Linked DNA regions of Tribolium castaneum. The protein of the gene in region 1 interacts with the protein of each later gene in a biochemical or structural test. Links are inferred from orthologs where the notes say so. Each region holds a gene or a part of one and is shown on either strand. Other genes may lie near its edges.

The links. The genes of interacting proteins can lie anywhere in the genome.
Region 2: of the proteins of Rel (region 1) and Dredd, one has a biochemical effect on the other in vitro, tested with the Drosophila melanogaster proteins (2 studies listed by BioGRID). The link is inferred for Tribolium castaneum from reciprocal best matches to the Drosophila melanogaster genes Rel and Dredd.

Annotation. Positions count from the first base shown.
Region 1 is NC_087400.1:6,389,521-6,392,942, forward strand, and holds part of Rel (nuclear factor NF-kappa-B p110 subunit), read right to left. Parts: intron 1,464-3,422; coding exon 1,325-1,463; intron 1,279-1,324; coding exon 1,174-1,278; intron 1,127-1,173; coding exon 595-1,126; intron 1-594. UniProt on the Drosophila melanogaster protein: Transcription factor that plays a key role in the humoral immune response as part of the peptidoglycan recognition protein (IMD) signaling pathway.
Region 2 is NC_087398.1:10,957,850-10,961,959, forward strand, and holds the start of Dredd (caspase-8), read right to left. Parts: upstream 2,862-4,110; 5' UTR 2,750-2,861; coding exon 2,650-2,749; intron 2,641-2,649; exon of another isoform or gene 2,588-2,640; intron 2,538-2,587; coding exon 2,413-2,537; intron 2,369-2,412; coding exon 1,577-2,368; intron 1-1,576. Other genes in the region: leucine-rich repeat-containing protein 15, read right to left, coding at 3,113-4,110. UniProt on the Drosophila melanogaster protein: Effector of the programmed cell death (PCD) activators rpr, grim and hid. May play an apoptotic role in the germline as well as soma. Fadd interacts with Dredd to promote cleavage of Dredd and is necessary and sufficient for enhancing Dredd-induced apoptosis.

The sequences.
Region 1 (3,422 bases):
ATTTAAAATAAGTTCAACATTAAAATTATTTTGGTAGTCTCTTTCCTAGATTTTTGAAAAAAAAAATAAATGCTCGTTTTCTGAGCTGGTTTCAATATTTTACATTTAAATTTTTGTGAAATACCAATAATGAAACAAAAATTAGTTCGATTGTTACTTCCGTCCTACATACGTTTTTTTTTAAATTAACTACAAATTAACGTTTGAAAATTAAATGTAAAATAAATATTTGTTCTTATCTAACTAGAAGTACTTAGTTTTTGGCGGGCGATAAAACTTAGTATGCCATTAGAATGTAAAAAATTTAGCGACTTCACTGACATTTCAGTTGTGTTCAGATTGTGGTAAGGAAATTAAAATCATGAAAAATATATAAAATGATAACCGCTAATTGTTTTTATTCATGATAAGGTACCAAAATTAAAAACTTAATGACAGGTAAATTATATGGTCAAGTTTCTATCCTGACTAGTATTATAGTCATGTTGTAGTCTCTTACCAATGTTTTGATGCAATATTTTCGCAAAAAATCGTTACCAGAGGGCGCAAAGTAGCTCAAAAATCTCATAAAAAAACAAAGTATACAATCCTGACCTATTCTTGTTACCCCCCTTGGGGGCATTTTTTTTGGGATACTGCGAGGGTGCATCCACCACCAATGAATAGTCTTGTCCAAACTCATTGAACAATCGACGAAACTCCTCCGAATCAATGTTAGTCATCGCTTGTTGTAGGTCATCACTGGTAACTTCTAACTGAACATCATCAAGCAAACCTGGCGTGTTATCGATACATAAATTATTGATCGGTAGCGGTAATTCATCACTAGGTAAAGACGAATCGTAACTAGTGTCATAACTCGTCCTTGCTCTTTTGGCACCCGGCTTATAAACACTTGAACTGGGGGTGTAAGTGAACTCTTTCGCCTCACTTCGGGAGCGATCGGACGGCCGTTCGAGCTCAATATAAACCTTAACCGGGGATTTGATGTTGGGGTCTCTGTATGGGGGCGTTTTGAAGACAATGGCGTACTGGTGGTGGACGTCCAAGTCGCTGAAACGGCCATAATCCTCCCACAAGATGTTGTCATCGTCGTCCAACTCATACAAGCGTATTTTAATGTTCTCTAAACCAATAAATGAATTGACAATTTTTCACAATTAATTGACTCACTTTTGGTGACTCTCTCGACTAAAATAAACACCTCTCGGCCCCCTTTCGCAGGGCTGGTGCAGTGGTCCATTCGCACGATTTTTAATTCGCCCGTGAGGGCGCTTTCTAGAGAAAATGAGTCAAAAACCCGAAAATTTGAGTCAATACTTACTCAAGTTATTGATCGTGTGTGAATAAACCGGCGGGCAAATAGGATGTAGTATCCCATTGTTTTCATAAAAAGCGTCAAATCGCAAGACAACAACATTCAGATTAATGAATTTGCTTTCAGCCTCAGCCAATCCCTTAATCTGAAAGGAAAAGTGGGATAAACACATGACAGATAGCTTCGAGGGCTCGACTACTGTGGGTTTTGAAACGTTTAAGTGAAGATATCCACATATGTTTATTACGAAGGGTTGGGTAAAGAGACTTACGGTCGCATTCGCTGACTTGAGCGAGTCTCAACTCGCACCAGACACACATGGCTCAACCTTAAAATTGATAAATGTAAGGTATTACATTTGCAAATTTGGGGTTAGTGTCGGTTATTCTTTATAGTGCAATCAAAACCTGTGTTATCATTTATGCGATTTCAGCCGGTTATCTGAATCGTGGTTACATTTCTTTTATCACTTATCAGCAAATATTATGAGTCAGAGTTACTTAATACAGACAAAATATTTATAAATAATGCAAACTTACACACAAAACCTTAAGACCATAAAGAATTTGGCTTTGCAACCGAAACTCAATCCTATGATTTTTTTTAAATTGCGTCACACTGCCATTTTTGTTATCACAAATGTGGTTCGCCGTAATTGGTCCATTTGAACGAGCGACGCTCTCATTGGCGAATACACTTTTGGCGCGTTATTTAAGATTTGCCAAAGCAAACACGAAATACTTGTATAATTTGCCGCCATTTTGATGCTTTAATATAGTCGATTTTTTTATAATCAACTGTCTTAAAGCCGTCAGGTTGGCACTATCATGAATAGTAATTTTTTTGAAATAAGGTTGATGTAATTTTTTAGCTGCCAAATTCAGTTTCCAAATTTTACAAGTTGTCTCCAATTTAAAACACGTACAACAACACATTTAGTTATTTTCTAACGTCCAATTTTCAAAAATGTCAAATCTGATGTCCAAAATGTCAAATACAGAATACAGCCAGTTTCAAAAGTGGCTGGACATGAACTTTTAGGGTGATACAGTCTGGTCTTTATCAGAATTTTGACATTGACAGTTTATTATATAAAAAATGGACTATAGGCATATTAAATGTCATTAAGTGCGATGTCATAACAGTCATTATTTGACGGAACATTTTACGAAAATTTTTAGGTTGGCAGGAAGCAAATTCGAGACCGTATTTTTTCTAATTTCACAAATTTCAAGAAGCGTTCATGCTATATTACCTTTATAATCTTTGATGCTCGTGTTTTTTGACAGAATTTAAATAAAACAAAAATTTTAATTTAATTTTTCACTTTCAAAATTGGGATATTACCAACCGTCACAAAAATCCCTAAATCGACAAAAATAACAACTTTTGGTCAAAAACGACAAAAAGGGTGCAAATTACAAAAAACAGTATAAAAAACTGACGCCACTCGTTTTTTACACTGAATTCGTGCTTTAAAACTGGTCTTATGAAACTTGTTTTGTAATATATCAGCTGTTTCAAAACTATAAAAACGCCAACGCATTTTACCGAATTATTTTTTTAAATTAATGATTAGATATCTCATTGAAAGTATAAATTCCATTAGCTAATACTATTATTTAACGAGTTTGAGTGTAAATCGGACGCTTTATTTCACGAGTGGATTATTACACCACGAGTGAAAACCTAATTTTTTTTCCGAGATTTCACGCCGCTTTGCCACTTTTTGCGACGCGTTCTCGTTCGTGTTTTAATGGCACGGTAATTACTTCATACGAAGCATGATTGCTGTAGATGTCTGTTGCATTTTAAGGAACAATAAAAAAATTATGAAGAAATCAAATACAGATTCCTACTTTTCAACAAAGCTGGGAATTTAACTTAATTCCTAAAACAATGAAATACGAGACCGTGACGTTAGAGAAAAATCAGATTAAAATATAATCCTATATCTAATAAAGCGTTGGAACGTCCCATTGCGAAACTCGTGTATACTCTGTTATCATCATTATGTCGGTGTAAAATCTACTTTTTCCGATCACGATTTAATTATTTAGTTGTAAAAAAACGCCCAAAGCTGGTATTTTTCATTATTGTGTTA
Region 2 (4,110 bases), on another chromosome or scaffold:
GCTTTTACTTAAAGCATTTGCTTATGATTCTAAGGAATTGTTTGTCTCTTGTGTGTCACTTAAAAAACTTGAAGTATCACTTCCTTCAAGTAAATTGAATTTAATTTCTGGTTTAAGGATTTCATAAGAGAAGGAAGACACGTAAAAGATGCAAAATAAAATACTCTACAGTTAGAATAATTATTAATTATACCATTGTAGAATGCCTCGGGATTTCTCATCTTATCATGAATCTTTGCGTGAGAAAAAAGAATCCGAATTTTTAGTTATAGTAAAATTATTACAAAATAATTGATAAACATACATACTGCTATATATAAAAAAAAAACAGATAAAAATGTAACTGGCAATAAAAAAATAAAGCTATGAAACTTTTATAGGGGAATACCTAATCCTACATTAACAAAAATTCCTAATGGAATAGAATGGAGCTAATTCAGCAGAAGAATACAAGAAGAGTTTCCCTCAATATGGAATACTCTTAAAAAATTTCCACCGCGACATGTTAGATCTTCATCTATTAACGCCTTTACTTCAAAAACAGATGAAACAAAAAATCTTTTATATTTATGAATTTAAAAGTTCTTAGCCTGCAAAAAATAATAATTGAAAATAATGTGAATGTGAGTACTTTTGAGGACTATTATATTATGATTTTGTTTACTTTACACTTGTTTACTTTAAAAAATAAGTTATTAAATTATTGCAAATTGTATAAAAAATACATATTAAGCTCTGTATATGGCTGCAGCTTTTATTTTTGCCTCCAGTTGTCTATAATTTGATAAGTCAAACAATTAGCAGAAGCATTCGCTTAATTTTGTAAGCTTGTCCTTGTCTTTATTAATACAGAAATATGCATTTCTTTTGCATTAACTTATGCTAATCAAAATTATGAAAACCTTATACTTAAATTCTTATCCTTACTTTTATTATTTTATTTTATTTTCAGGAAACGTTTCACTCGTTTCCTGAAAAGTTAAGTAAAGCTAGAGATGTTACCTGTTGGAAATAGACCGCCCATTTATTATTTTATTTAGAAAACAGCATACAGTTTCATTTCATTTTTTCATTTAAACGTTTATTTTTTATAAAAACTCTAAAATTATTTTTAGTTTTTACCTCGTTAATGCTTGGTTACAAATATTTAATACGAGATATCAACTAGTCTGAGAGATAATAATTAAGATTGGATTTAGAAAGAACATACAATTGTAATTTTTTTTATTACCTACTCTTCTTAAGTTTTCACAAGCAAACAGTATTTTTTCCAAGCATATTTTCTTAAAACACCCTTTGGTTGTAAAAAAATGATGAACTTACAATCACTGCTTAACGCATTAATAATTTTTTTTTGTTTTCTCAAAATACCTTGGCAAGACAAATGCAAGTGACAATCCCTACAAGGATTTTCGTAATTTTTGCAGAAAACAGAGCTTAATTAAAGGTCTTTTAACTATAAAAAACAATGACAAATCAACAGTTACTCCTTAGAACCTTACATATTTTTTTCTTTTGTCAATTTTTGATCAGAAATTTTGAGAGCATGGTACAAAACACCTCTCCCCCAACTTACTCGATATTTTCTGTCCACTTCTCTGTAGAAATTCTCTTGATTGATGATCAAACAAATGCCAGGTCTTTCTGGATCAATAAAATATTTATTTTCATCGCTGACAAAAGCTGCATTGTCTGCACTGATATGCGACGTCTCCAGCGAGGCCAGACTAAGCAAACTGGACTTTGGATCTAAAATTCCCTCAAACACACTCACTGACTGTCTTTTTTCACTCTCACTAGAATCTACTCTTTTATCTACACTTCTACTCTCAGCAGATTTGTGCACAATTGGCACAATTTCTCTCAGTTTATCACAAATATCCAACTGGTCAATTTGCTTGAGAACTCTACACAAATTACTCAAATCGTCCAGTTTTACGTACCCCACAGTCTCCCAATGCAGCAAATACAACTCCAAAAATTGCGCATTAATGCACTTAAAATCCAGCCCCTTCTCCCTGAAGTCCTTACACGCCAAGTTGAGCAAATTCTCAACGTCCTTCTGCTGCAACGCCTCGCAGACGAAATAGAGGGCCTTTCTGACTTTGTTCACATAGGCGTACGTGAAAATGTGGTGCGGTAAAAACCGAGCGGTTAAATCCTCCCGTTTGAAGCCCAAACTTGATATGATTTGGTAATTCTGGATGATGCAAAGTGCCTCAACCAGCTTTTCTTGCCACTTCCGACCGGCTAAGTTCTCATGAATTGCCCAATTATACAAGAGTTTGTCATGGGACCCTTGGAGCAATTTCGTTAGTTGAACAAACGCAGATTTGGGGTCTTCGTAAATCAAAAACACAAGGGCCACCTGTAACCATTCTTTATTAAAGGATAGCTCCCAGAAATAACTACCTTCTCGTAGTCATCCAAGTCGTTTTCAATGGACATAACTTGGTCCACATTTAGCGTTATTGGCATCGCTGGTTGCGATAAACTGGCGTCTATGGTGTCAGTGGAGTCCAAACAATTGTCCTCATCTAAAACATCGCTCAAATTAATACTAAATTACTGGAATTAAATACGTAACAAAAAGTGGGGTTATGTTGCAAAAAATGACACTTGAGATCAAAAGTTGATAAACAAATTTACCAAAGGTAGGTTGATTTTTGCACGACACCTCGTTGCTTTCCTCTTCGGAACACGAATCGTCGGAATAATCATTTCCTTGGCTTGAAAACAATCCACCCATTGTCGTTGGTTTTAAATAACAATTAATTCGATAAACTGATTAAAACACGTAACTCAACAAGGGACTTCCCCGTGATGGCATCCATGCGAAAAATCCCTAGGTTTTAATCAAAGGACATGAGCCAAACAGTAAATCAATAAAAAGATGACTGCGATATCGATAAATTGGCTGCGAATTGATTTGGAACAACAAAATTTAATTTTTTACGTTAATACTTTAATTAAATTCTTAATCAAAACAGAAAATATCCTACTAAACATAGGACGCAATCGTGTAGAACGCCATTCAAACAGGCGGTAAATTTAATAATTTCGCTCTGGGACAACAATAAAACTACAAACAAAGTTTTTAATCAATATTAGATCAAATTGGTTGTTGTGACACAGAACTAACAATGCGTTTTATTTTTGGCCACTGGGAAAGAAATGTTTTAATCTTTTCCACACAATCCTCCCGCCAGGGATTCCCCTCCAGATGCACAAAGTCCACCCTTCTGAAAGCCTCCTCTAAATTTCCCTCCACACACCCCAGCTTATTTCCACTCAAATCCACACTTCCCACCGTCGCATTAGCCAGCCATTCTGGGTCCAAATCCACAATCAAATTATCCCTCAAACTAAAATTCACCACTTTCTCCAACCCCGCGAAACTTTCCCGTGAAACTTCTTTAATCAAATTTCCTTGCAAATCAATGCTGTACATTTGGGGATAATTCCGGAAGGCTTGGCCCGGCAAAGCTCCAATTCGGTTAAAACCGGCGAAAATGTAGGCCAACTTGGGGGAATTACTCAACCATTTGTCATCCCATTGGGTTAAGTTGTTGTGGTCGATGTGCAAAACACTGAGCTGAGACATGTCGTCGAATGACTTGGGTTCGATTTTCGCGATTTGGTTGTAATTTAGTTTCAAAGTTACCAGTTTCGACTGACTGAAGACACCTTCAGGGACGTGGTGAAGGGTATTAGCGGTGAGGTCCAACGTGTCCAGTGCGGGAAGATTTTTCAAGTCTCCGGGCTTTAGAACTTGAATGGAATTGAAACTCAAGTCGAGATATTTTAAATCAGGGAAATGCAAATCGATTTCGGTCAAATTGTTGTTGCTCAGGACCAGATTTGTTAAGTTTGTGATTGGTCCGTCGATTTTTCGGAGCCCATTTCCGTACAAATTCAAGCTTTGGAGTGAGACGTTTTCAAAAGTCCCGTTTCGAATCTCAGAAATTTTGTTGTTACTGAGTGTGAGATGGTGAATTTTGAGGTTTTTGAAAGCCCCAAGTTCGAGTTTGGAAATTTCATTGTCACCTAAATTCACACTTGTCAGGTTTAAGTTTGTGAAAGTTCCTCGTTCAATAACTTTGAGCTCAT